Linked DNA regions of Nothobranchius furzeri. The protein of the gene in region 3 interacts with the protein of the main gene of each other region in a biochemical or structural test. Links are inferred from orthologs where the notes say so. Each region holds a gene or a part of one and is shown on either strand. Other genes may lie near its edges.

Evidence for each region.
Region 1: the proteins of map2k7 (region 3) and mapk8ip2 form a complex in vitro, tested with the Homo sapiens proteins (2 studies listed by BioGRID). The link is inferred for Nothobranchius furzeri from reciprocal best matches to the Homo sapiens genes MAP2K7 and MAPK8IP2.
Region 2: of the proteins of map2k7 (region 3) and lrrk2, one has a biochemical effect on the other in vitro, tested with the Homo sapiens proteins (2 studies listed by BioGRID). The link is inferred for Nothobranchius furzeri from reciprocal best matches to the Homo sapiens genes MAP2K7 and LRRK2.
Region 4: the proteins of map2k7 (region 3) and growth arrest and DNA damage-inducible protein GADD45 beta form a complex in vitro, tested with the Homo sapiens proteins (2 studies listed by BioGRID and IntAct). The link is inferred for Nothobranchius furzeri from reciprocal best matches to the Homo sapiens genes MAP2K7 and GADD45B.

The regions. Positions count from the first base shown.
Region 1 is NC_091744.1:72,543,373-72,547,407, forward strand, and holds the start of mapk8ip2 (C-Jun-amino-terminal kinase-interacting protein 2), read right to left. Parts: upstream 2,858-4,035; 5' UTR 2,373-2,857; coding exon 2,308-2,372; intron 1-2,307. UniProt on the Homo sapiens protein: The JNK-interacting protein (JIP) group of scaffold proteins selectively mediates JNK signaling by aggregating specific components of the MAPK cascade to form a functional JNK signaling module.
Region 2 is NC_091744.1:48,425,662-48,429,227, reverse strand, and holds part of lrrk2 (leucine-rich repeat serine/threonine-protein kinase 2), read right to left. Parts: intron 1,605-3,566; coding exon 1,519-1,604; intron 1,210-1,518; coding exon 1,100-1,209; intron 1-1,099. UniProt on the Homo sapiens protein: Serine/threonine-protein kinase which phosphorylates a broad range of proteins involved in multiple processes such as neuronal plasticity, innate immunity, autophagy, and vesicle trafficking.
Region 3 is NC_091747.1:73,509,507-73,513,732, forward strand, and holds the start of map2k7 (dual specificity mitogen-activated protein kinase kinase 7), read left to right. Parts: upstream 1-1,385; 5' UTR 1,386-1,457; coding exon 1,458-1,581; intron 1,582-4,226. UniProt on the Homo sapiens protein: Dual specificity protein kinase which acts as an essential component of the MAP kinase signal transduction pathway. Essential component of the stress-activated protein kinase/c-Jun N-terminal kinase (SAP/JNK) signaling pathway.
Region 4 is NC_091748.1:78,786,153-78,789,610, forward strand, and holds growth arrest and DNA damage-inducible protein GADD45 beta, read left to right. Parts: upstream 1-1,463; 5' UTR 1,464-1,649; coding exon 1,650-1,693; intron 1,694-1,846; coding exon 1,847-1,948; intron 1,949-2,027; coding exon 2,028-2,256; intron 2,257-2,364; coding exon 2,365-2,478; 3' UTR 2,479-2,896; downstream 2,897-3,458.

The DNA.
Region 1 (4,035 bases), on a different chromosome or scaffold from region 3:
AATGAATCACTGTCACATCGATCTGATTCATCCATGGGAGTGAAGTAATTCCACATGAAGACACAGCTTGGATAGAAAATGCACCAGAAGTTGTTTACTACTGTTGCTGCCTCTGTAGGACATGTGGAAGCAGGATGTTATGCTGCGTTTATTCTGATGCTTTAGGCTGAACCTGGTTAGGACGTGATGACGCTCACAACGCTGCATGTGCAGACGAGTCGGGGTTCACCTGATTATCAACGTCAGACTTTTGTTTCTGCAAATGATGGTGTTGTGACAATGCTTTTGCTGAAATTTTCCTTTTTGCTCACACATTTAAGATCAGCAACCAAATTTACAACCGAACTCAAACCTTGGACTAAAAGATTCTCACATCACTGGGGAGGAATTTTAACTAATTCGTCTTGTTGGACTTGTTTTAATTTAATAGTTTTGACAAAAGTGAGATGGGCATTTGTCTTCTTTTTTGGTCAGCAGAGGTCCTTGAACTCTTACGTGGAGGCAATTTTTGCTCCTGCAAGCTTGAATCATAGATTGTTCTGGATTTGTTAGATGTGTTGCTTTTGAGATTGTTCAGCTCTTCATTCTACATGTCTGACAGTAATAAGGCCTAGCTTTGGCTGACTGGTGGAACCAAGCTCATGCTTCCAATTAATCTGATTATTCCCAGTTAAGTCATAATTTAACAAGAGGAGCAATGACTTTTTCACTGGGTCAGGTTAATTTGGGGCTTTTTTTCTTTTATAAAATGAATAATTTTAAACTACATACTGTATTTACTCGAGTTGCCTTTGTCTAATTAAAGTGTTGGGTGACAAAAAAAGCAAAAACAAGAAATCTGTAAGAAGCCAAACACTTTAAATCATGCATGTCATTACCGTGTGCAGCCGTGTTATTCTACTTTTGATTTTACATTTTATAGACTCAACAATATAAAGTTTCTATATCAGGAGGCTATAATGATGTATTATTATTATTAATAACATAATTCGGTCAGCATACTTCCATCTACGTTCCATAAACCGTCTTCGTCCCTCACTGACCCCTCACACTGCCGCCATTCTCGTCCACAGCCTAGTCACCTCCCGTATCGACTATTGCAATTCACTCCTTTATGGTCTTCCCAACAAACTCCTTCATAAACTGCAACTCGTCCAGAATTCAGCAGCCCGTATTATCACCAGAATCCCTTCCTTTCACCACATCACGCCGGTTCTCCAGCAGCTTCACTGGCTCCCAGTTAAATTCAGGTCCATCTTCAAAATTCTCCTCCATACCTTCAAAGCAATCCACAACCTCTCTCCTCCATATATCTCAGACCTTATAAGTATTCACACCCCGTCCCGTTCACTCAGATCTTCTTCTTCCATCCATCTTGCGGTTCCTTCTGCCCGTCTCACTACTATGGGGAGCAGAGCTTTCAGCCGCTCTGCTCCTCGACTCTGGAACTCACTTCCCCCAGACATCAGGAACGTCGACAGTTTTACCCTTTTCAAAACAAAACTCAAAACACACATGTTTAAATCTGCCTACAACCTCTGATTTTATTGAAATGTTTCTCTCTGTTTTTTTCTTCTTTGGGTTTTATTATTGTTTTATTGTATTTTATTGCGTGTTTTGTGTAAAGTGACCTTGGGTGTCCTGAAAGGCGCTTTTAAATAAAATGTATTATTATTATTATTATTATTATTATTATTATTATTATTATTATTATTATTATTATTATTATTATTATGCTGCAAAGCTAATTGATTTTGTTAAGTCATCAGGATAAACAGCTGAAAGCAGCAAAAACAAACCAACAACTACCTCTGCAGCAGCAGAAATCTGCTCTGTTGTGTTCAGAAGGCATGAAAACGTGATCAAACTTGACGACATAAAAGATCCTTTACAACAGCATCAGTGAGACTTGCATGCATCATTGTTCAGCACCATGCCCTTGCTTTGGGTTGGACTCAACAGGGCGTGGGCCTCTCTCAGAGAATGCGCAAACGCTGGCTGTCTGCAAAATTACATCTTGATCATTTTGATAATTCGTATCTTTATTTCATTCATAATTTTCACAAAATGCTTTTTATTTGTTAAAAAATAATTCTTACAGGCGCCCATCATCACCATCAGGCCTAAAATATTCATCAATAACTACCTACAGGCTGGATTAGGCATGTTTTTGGGGGTGTTTATTTATTTTTTGGCAATAATCCGGTTAAATATGAGTAACAATGTCGCCCCTTTGCCTTATTTTCACCCATCGCCTCCTCCGCCATCACCATTTCTCTCCTCCTGCCCTCTATCATAAGCTCTTACCTGCATCCGGGTGGGGAGAGGGAGTGAAAAGTGGATAGAGAAAACATCTCAGCCCTGTCCGCCATCTTCTACTACGAATGACTCAGAGAGACTGCAGAAAATCACGGAAGGAAGCGCAGTCCATGAACAATCACAGGCCAGAGGACGGACGCGGTCCTGGACTGCGGTGTGGTCGCGCGCTCTGCGTCCCCGCGGATGATGCCCGCCTGGCCGGAAGCCTTGGATCAGACGAGCCTGCTCAACACCATCAAATCTGACTGCAGTGAACCCATCCGGGAGGGAAATGTGCTTCAGAGGCAGCGAGAGACGTTCGCGGAGATCCCCGTGTTCCCTGATCGATGCATCTAGCGCTAAGTCCTCGCGTTTTTTATTTTCTTCGACCGCAGTCCGTGATTTGCTCGGCAAACGTCTGCTGCCGTGATGCTGCTTGTGACACAACAGCAACGGGCCAGCAGTGCAGAGACAGGCAGCGGAGCGAGGAGGAGAAAGGAGGGGGTGAGAGAGAGGAGGAGGAGGAGCGGGAGACGTCAGCCTCGTTTCCAAGAGGAGGCTGAAGGGGCGCACATACGTTATAAATTATGCTCGGATACAAAAAGTAAATAAACAGAAAACACAAACACTACGTTTGATCTTCAGGTGGTTTTAATCATCAATGATAATTATTATTATTTAAAACTAATAATATAATTTATGTAAAAGACAAGAATTGAACCACTTTAAAACATGGCTCTCCTCAAAATATCAATAAATTGTTTGTTATTATTAATCTGGAACACTTTATCAATAATTGCTTATTAAAGGACAAGAAAAAGAGACAACTGACCAGCTTTGTGTGAGCCAAATCTGTTCTCTCTTCTTCACCCTTAATTGATGCAGAATAATAATTATTTATTATTTATTACAGTAAAATAGATTGATTAATAACATATCTATAAGCATGTGTAAGGGAGCCGTATGAACAGTCTTACCTTAAGCATGGTCATGATATTATATCACCAAATCTCAATCAATGTCACTGTCATTACGCTTTATTTAGTTTGTTTAAACTTGTTTAACTACTTTAACTAACTGGAGGAACACCATTTAAAATATGATGTATAAAACAAACAGAATGGTAAAAAGGGAATTCTGCTGTAAAAATATAAATTCTTTATTAGACTATAGATCTTCCATAACATGGGTCCATTCACTTAAAAAGTTTAAAAAACATGTGATTACTTTAGCGTATAAATAACTTGGAATAAAACACTTGACTCTGAATAGATAATATAGACAAATCATACTTTTTTAACCAACAGTGATCAAAGGCTACAGTGACATTTATCCTAAAAAATTTTTTAGTGAGGACCGATGGTGAGGACGTGTCGGAGATCATTGCTCAGGGAGCTGTTCACGGCCGGTGGTGCTGAAATCTGAGCTGCTGTAAAGGTTTCTGCCACACGGGGGCAGTAACTGCTCAGTTAACATAACTAATCTTTTCATTTGTATTTAATGGATGATTTTTCATGCTCAGAAATAGCACTTTTTTTAACTAAATGACATAATCTTATAGTTTATTTTTGGTGTTTTGTTTCTGCATTTTTTATATGTGTGTTCATTTGCCATTGTTGTGGCTGCTGTGCACTCACTCTAGCAGGAAAAACCAAAAACAAATGTTCGTCATTTTTCTTTGTGTCCACTTAATTACTAGCCCCCATGAGCTTTTGTGTGAAGTATGCAACCAGCTCC
Region 2 (3,566 bases), on a different chromosome or scaffold from region 3:
GGGCGAGTTGAGGTTGAGGTGAGGATCCAAGGTGCAGGGGAAAAAGGCAGGCAGGAACATTCAGAAAAGGCTTTAATGAGGAGCAAGCGAGACACTGAAACAGTGAACAGACGAAGAACATAGAACTGGGAGGGATCAGATACAGGAAGAACTGGGAGACGAAAGGCAGGTGGGAGCAATTAGTAAAGACTCAGGACTGAACAGAGACTGGAGACAGGACAGATTGTGACATAGCAGACACATGAGGAGCCACTATTAAAGGGATAAACCTATCCCTGATATAGGAGCTTCTCAGCTCATAGCAGCCTGAGTGGGGAGGTGGGTATGGCTAGCTCCAGCTCGTTTTCTTAAAGTGACAGAGCCCTGAAACGGATCATTCTGGAAGGTACTGAAACTGTCAAGAATAAAACTGCTGGTGTTGCTCGATGTGACAGGGATTTAGTGCAAGACTGTCATAAACATGTTTTGTATCAACCATCCGTTTTCGGCCACTTATCTGGGGTCGGGTCACGGGGGCCAGTAGCCTAAGAAGGGAGGCCCAGACTTCCCTCTCCCCAGCCACTTGGGCCAGCTCCTCCTGGGGAATCCCTGGCCAGCCATGAGACACAGTCCCTCCAGCGTGTCCTGGGTCTACCTTTAGGTCTCCTCCCGGTTAGACGTGCCCAGAAAACCTCACCAAAGTCAAGGAGGCCTCCTGACCAGATGCCCGAGCCACCTCAAATTATTATAACTTCATAAAAAAACATAATTAAATGTCCCCTTTAAGATTTTCAGCTAATGTTTCTAAAATTGGATCCCCTCTCAGAGGCAGATTCTAAAACATGGAGGCAAAAGGCCACTCATCCTGGTTCTGGTTGCGCTGAAGGTCCAGTCTTGAACTTTCGCCACGTGCTTGCTCAAGATGTTGGGTTGGGTTGGAGGGAAGTTGGGTTCAATCTGCTGCTGTTGTTTATTAAATCAGGGGTGAACTAAGCTGGTCTGAACTGGATAACAGAGTCCAGGTCAGTCTGTGGTGGGACCAGGAGGACCTCCATGTTACCAGAGTCTCTGACTTGTGAACATGCAGGTGACACCACCAGACCAACCAGTCTTCACTTACTGGTGCACTGCCAGGATCTCCCAGTCCACGGCTGCCTCCAGAGGTTGGCTGAGATGCTCCAGCGTTCTGGGACATATTTCAATCAGCTTACACAGCAGCAACCAGCCCTCCTGTCCAAACAAAAACCTCACGTTTGATTTGAACAATAACAATCAAACTGACACGTAATGAGAGCAGAATCAGATGAAACACATTCTAGAGGCATGTTGAGAGCAGTCATTCCTGTCTGAACACATATTCCATCCCATAATGTGGCTTTCAGTTTTAACATGCTGTAAACTTCTCATAAGCCAGAACGCATTACAGTCACAAGACGTCATAAACACGGTGGATCGGGTGGACGGGCCACTGGCGGTTACTTTTTAACCACATTAAGCACGAACAACCTCCTCCTGTAAGGGGGGGGGGGGGCAGATTACCTGCTGGACTCCTTTGCTGCTGATGTAAGATGACAGCACCGTCACGAGGGGAAGGTGAACGTTCTTGTCCTCAAACAGCTCAGCTGCTGCAACAAAGATCAGCAAAAGAGACAACATGTGATAAACCGGAGCACCTATTTTTGTTTTAAATGGCCATGAAAACACACGTGAATAGAACACCTAAGAACACGTGAATAGAACTCATGAAAAGAACACGTGAATAGAACATGTAAGAACACGTGAATAGAACACGTAAGAACACGTAAATAGAACACGGGAATAGAACACGTGAATAGAACACGTGAATAGAACACGTAAGAACACGTGAATAGAACATGTAAGAACACGTGAATGGAACACGTAAGTACACGTGAATAGAACACGGGAATAGAACACGTGAATAGAACACATAAGAACACGTGAATATAACATGTGAATAGAAAACGTAAGAACACGTGAATAGAACATGTAAGAACATGTGAATAGAACACATAAGAACACGTGAATATAACATGTGAATAGAACACGTAAGAACAGGTGAATGGAACACGTAAGAACACGTGAATAGAACACATAAGAACACGTGAATAGAACACGTAAGAACACGTGAATAGAACACGTGAGTAGAACACGTAAGAACATGTGAATAGAACACGTAAGAACACGTGAATAGAACACGGGAATAGAACACGTGAATAGAACACGTAAGAACACGTGAATAGAACACGTGAATAGAACACGTGAATAGAACACGTAAGAACACGTAAATAGAACACGTAAGAACACGTGAATAGAACACGGGAATAGAACACGTGAATAGAACACGTAAGAACACGTGAATAGAACACGTAAGAACACGTGAATAGAACACATAAGAACACATGAATAGAAAACGTGAATAGAACACGTAAGAACAAGTGAATAGATAAATAGAACACGTAAGAACACGTGAATAGAACACGTAAGAACACATGAATAGAACAAGTGAATAGACCATGTAAGAACACGTGAATAGAACATGTAAGAACATGTAAGAAAACGTAAGAACACGTGAATAGAACACGTGAATAGAACACGTAAGAACATGTAAGAACACGTGAATAGAACATGTGAATAGAACACGTAAGAACACATGAATAGAACACGTAAGAACATGTAAGAACACGTGAATAGAACACGTAAGAACACGTGAATAGAACATGGGAATAGGACACGTGAATAGAACACATAAGAACACGTGAATAGAACATGTGAATAGAACACGTAAGAACACGTGAATAGAACACGTAAGAACACGTGAATAGAACACGTAAGAACACGTGAATAGAACACGTAAGAACACGTGAATAGAACACGTGAGTAGAACACGTAAGAACACGTGAATAGAACACGTAAGAACACCTGAATAGAACACGGGAATAGAACACGTGAATAGAACACGTAAGAACATGTGAATAGAACACGTAAGAACACGTGAATAGAACACGGGAATAGAACACGTGAATAGAACACGTGAATAGAACACGTAAGAACACGTGAATAGAACACATAAGAACACGTGAATAGAACACGTGAATAGAACACATAAGAACACATGAATAGAACACGTGAATAGAACACGTAAGAACACGTGAATAGATGAATAGAACACGTAAGAACACGTGAATAGAACACGTAAGAACACATGAATAGAACAAGTGAATAGAACATGTAAGAACACGTGAATAGAACACGTAAGAACATGTAAGAAAATGTAAGAACACGTGCATAGAACACGTGAATAGAACACGTAAGAACATGTAAGAACACATGAATAGAACACGTGAATAGAACACGTAAGAACACGTGAATAGAACACGTAAGAACATGTAAGAACACGTGAATAGAACACGTAAGAACACGTGAATAGAACATGTGAATAGAACACATAAGAATATGTGAATAGAACACATAAGAACACATGAATAGAACAAGTGAATAGAACATGTAAGAACACGTGAATAGAACACGTAAGAACATGTAAGAAAACGTAAGAACACGTGAATAGA
Region 3 (4,226 bases):
CTCACCCAAGCTTCTGCTTCCCTGTAAACTCCTCCAAAGATGTGCTTTCTACGCCTGAATAGGACGGGAGATTGGATGCATTGAGGAGCTGAGGGACCAAGCTCTTTTCTTCAGTTAATAAATGATCCAACAAGAATACCAACAATCTAAATGTGTTAAACAACAACCTGCTGTACACATGGACATGTAAAGAAAGGAACTTCACAATAAAAGCTCATTGCAAGAATTTAAACACTTTTATTTGAAGTCATGAGCTCCAAAGATAATTAAGAGAATGTCCATGCCTAGGTCGATTTCATTCATAGAGGAAGGTAGCGGAGGTTACTGCTGCAGCTGCTGCTAGCGTGCAGGCTCCACCATCAAAGACAGCCCGCCTGCAGTACACCTGCAGCAGATGTGGTCAGCCCAAGCGGCTGGACACTGGCCACACATTGCAGGCGTGTCCTACTGGGCATCTGTTGGCGGAAAGTCTGTAGAGGAGTGGAGGGAGGAGATGAAGAATAACATTAGAGGGAGATTGGATGTGTTGAGGAGCTGAGGGAGCAAGACAGAAAAACTGTCTTCACTTTTTTGGATTTTTCTTTTTAAAGACTTTTTGAGACTTTTTCTTTTATTATATATATATATATATATATATATATATATATATATATATATATATATATATATATATATATATATATAAACGAAAACACTTTAAATCTTTGAATGTTTTTATGATCCTGGACACAGATACATTTATTACATGTGTTTTATAACATCACAAATATATTTCAACACAGATGCATTTTTTCATATATATTCTATAATTTTACGTGTCTATTATCACAAATATATTTCACAGCTCAGTGGTTCTTCATCACAATTATAATTAAATTTAAAGTGGTAATAGTGAAAAATTATTTACATAATAATTAGTTTTATCAGATTTCGCATACATTAATACTTTTATATTCGCACTGAGCGGGAATCGAACCTACGCACTTCGACTCCCGGACAAAACAGTTAAAAAAAAACGAGAAGATCCGTTGTTTGTCAAAGCTTTTTTTTTTTGTTTGTTTGTTTTTGGCTCCTGGTTTTTTATTTAGTTTTTTGTTTAAAAGCAATCGGTTTTGCTTCACCATCTTATTAATGTAAACCTTTGTTAAATTTAGTACGTTTCCTTACTCGTGTTGTACATGCTATATCTTTCAATAAAGTAAAAATAAATAAATAAATAAATAAATAAATAAATAAATAAATAAATAAACCTGCAGCGAGGTTTCCTCTGAAATAGAGAGCCCTTTCAGCCAATCAGACGCGAGAAAGGGAGAAAGGTGGGACCTTCCTGGACATACTACGGTTCCAAATGACGCGCGTGGGAGGAGGCTGTGGTTGCGAGTCTGCGCCTGCGCCTGCCTGCCACTGAGAGGCGTCGCGAGCTCTGCTGGAAACTATACGGTGCTCAATTTTTCAAGATGTCGTCGTTGGAACAGAGGCTGTCGCGAATCGAAGAGAGACTAAAGCAGGAAAATGAAGAAGCTCGCCGGAGAATCGACCTTAACATCGACATGAGCCCGCAGCGATCACGTCCAAGGCCAAGTGAGTGTCCATCGGGGCGGACCGGTGTGTTGGTAACGGCTAGAATAGCAGGAAAGGTCTGAGAAGGGGTGGGCTACCAGATGCATGCTAACTGGCTAGCTACGTAAACAAACATCGGCTGACCTCGGTTATACTACCAAAAATCCAACTTAATAAGTGGAACAGCTCATGTGGGGAGAAATGTTGAGCAGAGTTCAAACCCGGATGCAATGTTATACTAGTTGTCGGTGACTATGTCATTTCGAAATATGTTCATTTCAGTCCTGTCAAACATGCTAAGCTAACAAGCTGTACGTTTTGTGATAGTTTGTAGCAGGCCTGGCGTCCGTTAGAAAAATGACTGTTTTATTCATTTTTGATATAAATTTACGGTCGTTTCAATAATGTAATTTTAAAGGAATGTTTGTTCTAAATGTGAGTGGTGTGTTTGGATGTGACTTTTGGGCATAATAAGTCAGGTCACTTATGCTATTTTTAATGTCTCGCGCTTAAGGGTAATTTAAACTGGTTACTTTTATCCTTAACCAACACTGGTTGTGGTTGGAGCGGATGTTAAAGCAACAATCAAACAGAAATTCTGAACAGGTTGTCTGTTTTTTAGAAATTTGTGAGTTTGGTCAAACGTTTTAATAGTTATGTTGCTCTTTTTGAGGTTGTCTTGTAATTAACCTGTTATGATTAAATGTTAGGTCTTTCTCGTAGCTTTACTGCATCTGTTTGGTTAAGATTTGTTAGTGTAAATGTGTCAGAAAGGCATACGAACTTGACTTGACAGGAGATGCTGTAATTATGGGCCATAGAGGGAAAATCTCTACAGAAATGCTACGCTTGCTACAGCTTCGTGACATGTAACAACGAGACCCTCATTGCTGTAGTAAATAACAAAAAGCTCCATATTGACTGCTGTAAGTTTGCTATTGAGTGATAGCTTAAAAATCTTTCATTATTACTGAATAGCATTGTTTTGAGCCATTATACCTACCTTTTCTAATAGTTTTCTTTTGTTGAGAGAACAGTGGTCGTTTGATCCAGCTAACAAGTGCTGATGAAGGTCATTTGACTGTCACAGATGCTTCAAAAATTTACAGATGAGAAATGCATCAGGTCCAAATAACTCAGATTTGTTGGAGCCATGATACTGCTCACAATTATGCAGAATAATCATTTAAATGAGATAAAGATTGACCTTTGTTTAATCATAATATTTCCATAAGACACAACAGAGTTCATTATTTTGCCCAAGGACACTTTGTCTTGTGGAGAAACTGTAATTATACTACCAGCTCTCAGATTGGAAGTTGACCGCTCTACCAGCCGAGCCGCAGCTGTCTCAGACAGGGCAGTAACATGTTTCACATCCTGAGACCTCTGACTTTAAAAAAATCTCCTCTTGGTTTACCAGCTGGTGTTGAGCAAATAAGCTTGTAACTGAATATTTGGTGTGGAGAACTAAAAGGTCAGACATCAAATGCAACTTGACTTCATCGAGCTCTAAAAGTGAGAATATTTAAATCTTTTTTTTAATCTTTTTTATACTTTGTTTGGTTTTTTATTTATTGTTTTGTTTGTTTGTGAAGCGCCTCACGATTTTTATCTCAAGATGCTGTTTTTAAAAGAATGTTTTTTCTTTCTAACATTTTTATAGCAAAGAGATCAAAATGGATGTAATAGGGAGCCTAATGGGCCATTCCCATCTGTACCGGGTAGTCCCAGTCGGCCCCAGCCTGGCCCGGTTGATTCCACACATCCTTGCCTTAAGCCCATGTGGGCTGATTCTACCCACCAATCAGAGGCTTGCTCTAATGGAAGGTGTGAATTTGCTGTCAGCAGTGGGTGTGTTGGCCCTGGTCGGCCTGAATCAGACCCCTCGAGAAGAGGGCTGAGAATGAGCCTTGGTTTGCCCGGGAAAATACCAGGCCACCCAGATATGTAAACAACCTACGCTGCCTGGGCCGACCCGGTACAGATGGGAATGGCCCATAAGTCTCCTCCTTGTCCGGTTAGCTCATGGGTCCCTTGAAGAATGAAAAAATGAATGCAAATGAACAGAGGTAAAAGAACTATTTTCTAATCCGCTTTGCCTTACGCCCTGGATCACACACATGTTGCACTTCAATTTAAATGAACACTATAGGTGTTTCAACCAGCTTGTAAAAGTTTGTGATTATTATGATTACAAAAAATATGTTGGCACGTCACATAGATGACATCATCACAGGATCTCCTCTGCCCCAGCATAGCCGTTACTTACCCCATGGTCAGATTTCTGGTGAATTTCTTTCCTCCTGAAAGAAAGATTTGAAGTTCACTGAACTATAGGGCTGTCACAAACAACTCTTTTATAGTCGACTGATCGTGTCATGCATTAAAGTTTAGGTTTTTGCACCAGGATGCTCTTAATATACCCATTGTTAGCTTCTAGTTTGAAGTGTGATCAGCTGTGTGGCATCTAATGATAAAGACAAGATGATAACTTATCAAACAACTTTTAATTAACTTTGTAACCTATTAATACAAATGCTATAGTCAAATGGAGGTAGGCACCTAAAACCAAAAATAAATTGTACTCAAAAATGACTTGTGTTCACAAAAGGCATGGTGACAAGGGTGAAGCGCTTCGTCTTCTAATCTTAACTCAGGAAATG
Region 4 (3,458 bases), on a different chromosome or scaffold from region 3:
ACTGTTGCTATACAGTTTTAATAGTGTGCAGATTCATCACGTGACTTCTTGTTTTGCCTCATGAACTCTGAGTTTTCTGCATCATGATGACTCATTAAGTATTAACCTATAACCACATGGAGACAGCAGAATCATGCATTTCCCGGGCATCTTTTAAATATTTTGTATTTAAAATACAATTTATTTTATTTCAGGCTTTTTATTTAAATAATTATTTTTAAAATTTATTTCTCTAGGAAAAAACATGTCAACATCTTGCTGATAAGGAATGGAGCCCTCTGCGCATCATCCTCTCACAAACTAACCCACCACTAACCCTAACTACAGCACGGCCGATGGACCTGAGCGTAAAACAGCCTTCTGGTTGTTTTGTCTTGATAAATCCATCAGTTTCTCACAGATCGTAAAGCTACGTTTATATGATCTTCGTGTCTAAATCCTGCTCATGTTTTCTGTCTGAAACTGTTCATCAGTGAAAACTTGACTCGTTCTCTGTTTTTTTATTTTTATTATTAAAAATTCCCTCTGGTTTCTTTTAGGATTCATAGGAATCATCAGACTTTTGTTTTCAGTTTCATTTCTTCCTCTTCCTCCCTGATCACGAGCATCCAGAAACTGGATGCAACAGAACCCCCGGGACCCCCCCGGGACCCCCCCAACGGGGCCGGTGTTCGGAACACCGAATGGAGACGTGTTCTGGTTTCACTGCTGCAGGGGCGCCGCTAGGGGCGCCCTTGGGCTTTGCAGGAAGCCAGAATGTGAGGCATGAATCTGCAGCGCAGAAGTGATTCCATCCATCTTCTTTAACCGCCGCATGGTCGCGCGGGTTGGTGTGCAGAAGTAAATAATTCAGAGCTTTTTATGCACAAAATAGTTGTATTTATATTTTAGAGTGTCTGCTCTGTGTGCTGCAGCTGCCTGATCATAGTAGCACAGGTGTTGTGTCTTGACCTGGAATATCATAAAGCAGGACCTCCAGCTGCACGACCAGCGATGGGTCATCTGATCTTCTCGTGCTGGAGAATCTCGCTGTTGCACAACCTGCAGCGCGTTGTACAATGGTGGGGGTGGAGGGTGCGTGCTGCTGCGACACAAGGCTGGTCACCTGCTCCCGCTTCTTATCCGGGTTCTGCATAAAGTCGTGCCTGCATGGATTCAGATTGAGGAGGAGTCGTGAAAAGGGACTTTTTTTTTGGGGGGGGGGTCTGGAGTAGCAAGGAGGATGAGGAGGAAGATCTGGAAATTCCTCCTCAAGACAGAAAAACCCTCCCAGTAAACAAACTGACAGAGAGAGGGGAGGGGAGAAGTGCGGGGGATTCTCCGAAACCACCCACGTGGGATCGCCGGTTTCTGCTGCGTGCTCGGCCAATCAGCGAGTGTCTTTTGATAGCAGAGGGCCAATCAGTGCTCGAGCAGTTGCTCGCGTTGACGGGAGGCTATAAAAGCGGAGAGTTTCATCTTTTAGAAGCAGAACGCTTCTCTCTCACACACGGAAACCAGCAGCAGGACCTGTCCCTATTACCGGACCTTGGTACCGATCTGGATTAACGCTTGCTTGGCACTTCATCTCTGGAGCTTACCGGAACAGCTGAGCGCTGTGGATATTTGCCTTTATCCTGGATCTTGTGGATTATTTAACTGACTTCGACATGACTCTGGAGGAAGTTGTTGGGTCTAGCAGCACCGAGAAAAAGTAAGTATTTGCTTTCAGATGATGCGTAATTACGCACAAGCTCACATTTTAGTGCAAATGATGCAAGATTATCAGAGTGTTTAGAGCTCGCGCCGGTTCTGTTGCGTTCTGTGCCGGTTTCGGTCCCGTCTAACCGCCTCTGTGTCTCTGCAGGATGGAGCCGGTGAGTCAGGCTCTGGAGGAGCTGCTGGTGGCGGCGCAGCGGCAGGACTGCCTCACCGTGGGAGTCTACGAGTCCGCCAAACTCATGAATGTGTAAGTAGGAGCTGTGACCGACTGGTGCCTGTACGCGCGCCGGTGCTGGTTCTGACCCGGTTCTGTTCTCCTCCTACAGAGATCCGGACAGCGTGGTCCTTTGCCTCCTAGCCACAGATGAGGAGGATGAAGATGACATCGCGCTGCAGATCCACTTCACGCTGCTTCAGGCTTTCTGCTGCGACAACGACATCAACATCCTGCGGGTGTCCGGGATCCGGCGGCTAGCCCAGCTGCTGGGCGACGACACCGAGGACGGGAACGGCAACGGGGGCGAGCCCCGGGACCTGCACTGCATCCTGGTCACTGTAAGTTCTGAGCTCGCGCTGCTGCATCAATGGACCTGACTTAGATCAGAACCAGGAGATGAATCTGTGTTGCATGAAACTAAAGCAAATGTCCGCCTTGTTCTGCAGAATCCCCCGGTCCACCCGCTGCAGTGCCAGGCCCTGCAGGACGTCAGCAGCTTCTGCAAGGAGAGCCGCTGTAAGAACCAGTGGGTCCCCTGCCTGGAGCTGCAGGACCGCTAACTGGCGCCGAACCGAGCAGAACCGCCGAGGAGCGGTGGATGGAGCTGAATTAACGCAAACGACCAGTCCTCGTGAGAAGAGGCGTAACGGCGTTTGAGAGGCGCGGGACCGAGCCGTGGATGCATAAACCGACCCATCCGGTCAGGAGCGCGTGAGGTGTCGTTGCTGGTTCCGAGAGCCGAACCGAACTGGACCGTGCTGGATGGCGGAGTTACAGAGATGGAGGCGTTTTGATGCGATGAGTGATAGCGAGGAGCTGCACGTGACGTTCCGGACTGGGCTGCAAGTGATGCAGGTGTTCCGCTCACCTGTTCGGACACAACTGGACACTTTGTTTTACAGTGACGTCATGTCTGATTATTTACCTGATGGAAGAATGAATCAGCGTGTTGATGTAAATAAACAGTTGAAAGATAAATGACTTCCCGAGTGTTTCGTGCGTGTGTGTGTGTGCGTGCGTGCGTGTGTGTGTGTGCGTGCGTGCGTGTGTGTGTGCGTGCGTGCGTGTGTGTGTGCGTGCGTGTGTGTGCGTGCGTGTGTGTGCGTGCGTGTGTGTGTGCGTGCGTGCGTGTGTGTGCGTGCGTGCGTGTGTGTGTGCGTGCGTGCGTGTGTGTGCGTGCGTGCGTGCGTGTGTGTGTGCGTGCGTGCGTGCGTGTGTGTGTGTGCGTGCGTGCGTGTGTGTGTGAACTAAGTTCGGTTCTGAAAGGGTGCTGGGATACTGTCAGACTTACAGCCAGCAGCCTCAGGCACAGGAAGTGCTTATGCAAGAGTTTATCCCGGTGCATCATGGGAAGTGTAGTCATCTGCAGAATGAGCCGGAAGAGTTCCTCAGAGTTCAGATTAAAGGACCTGGAGTCATTTCTTCTTCAAAACAAAACTGATGAGAAGCAAACAGAGTCAGAAATAATGAATCCTTTACTTAAACTGATTATCGCATCAACATCTGGGATCAAAAGTTAATTTTTGAATTAATGAATGGT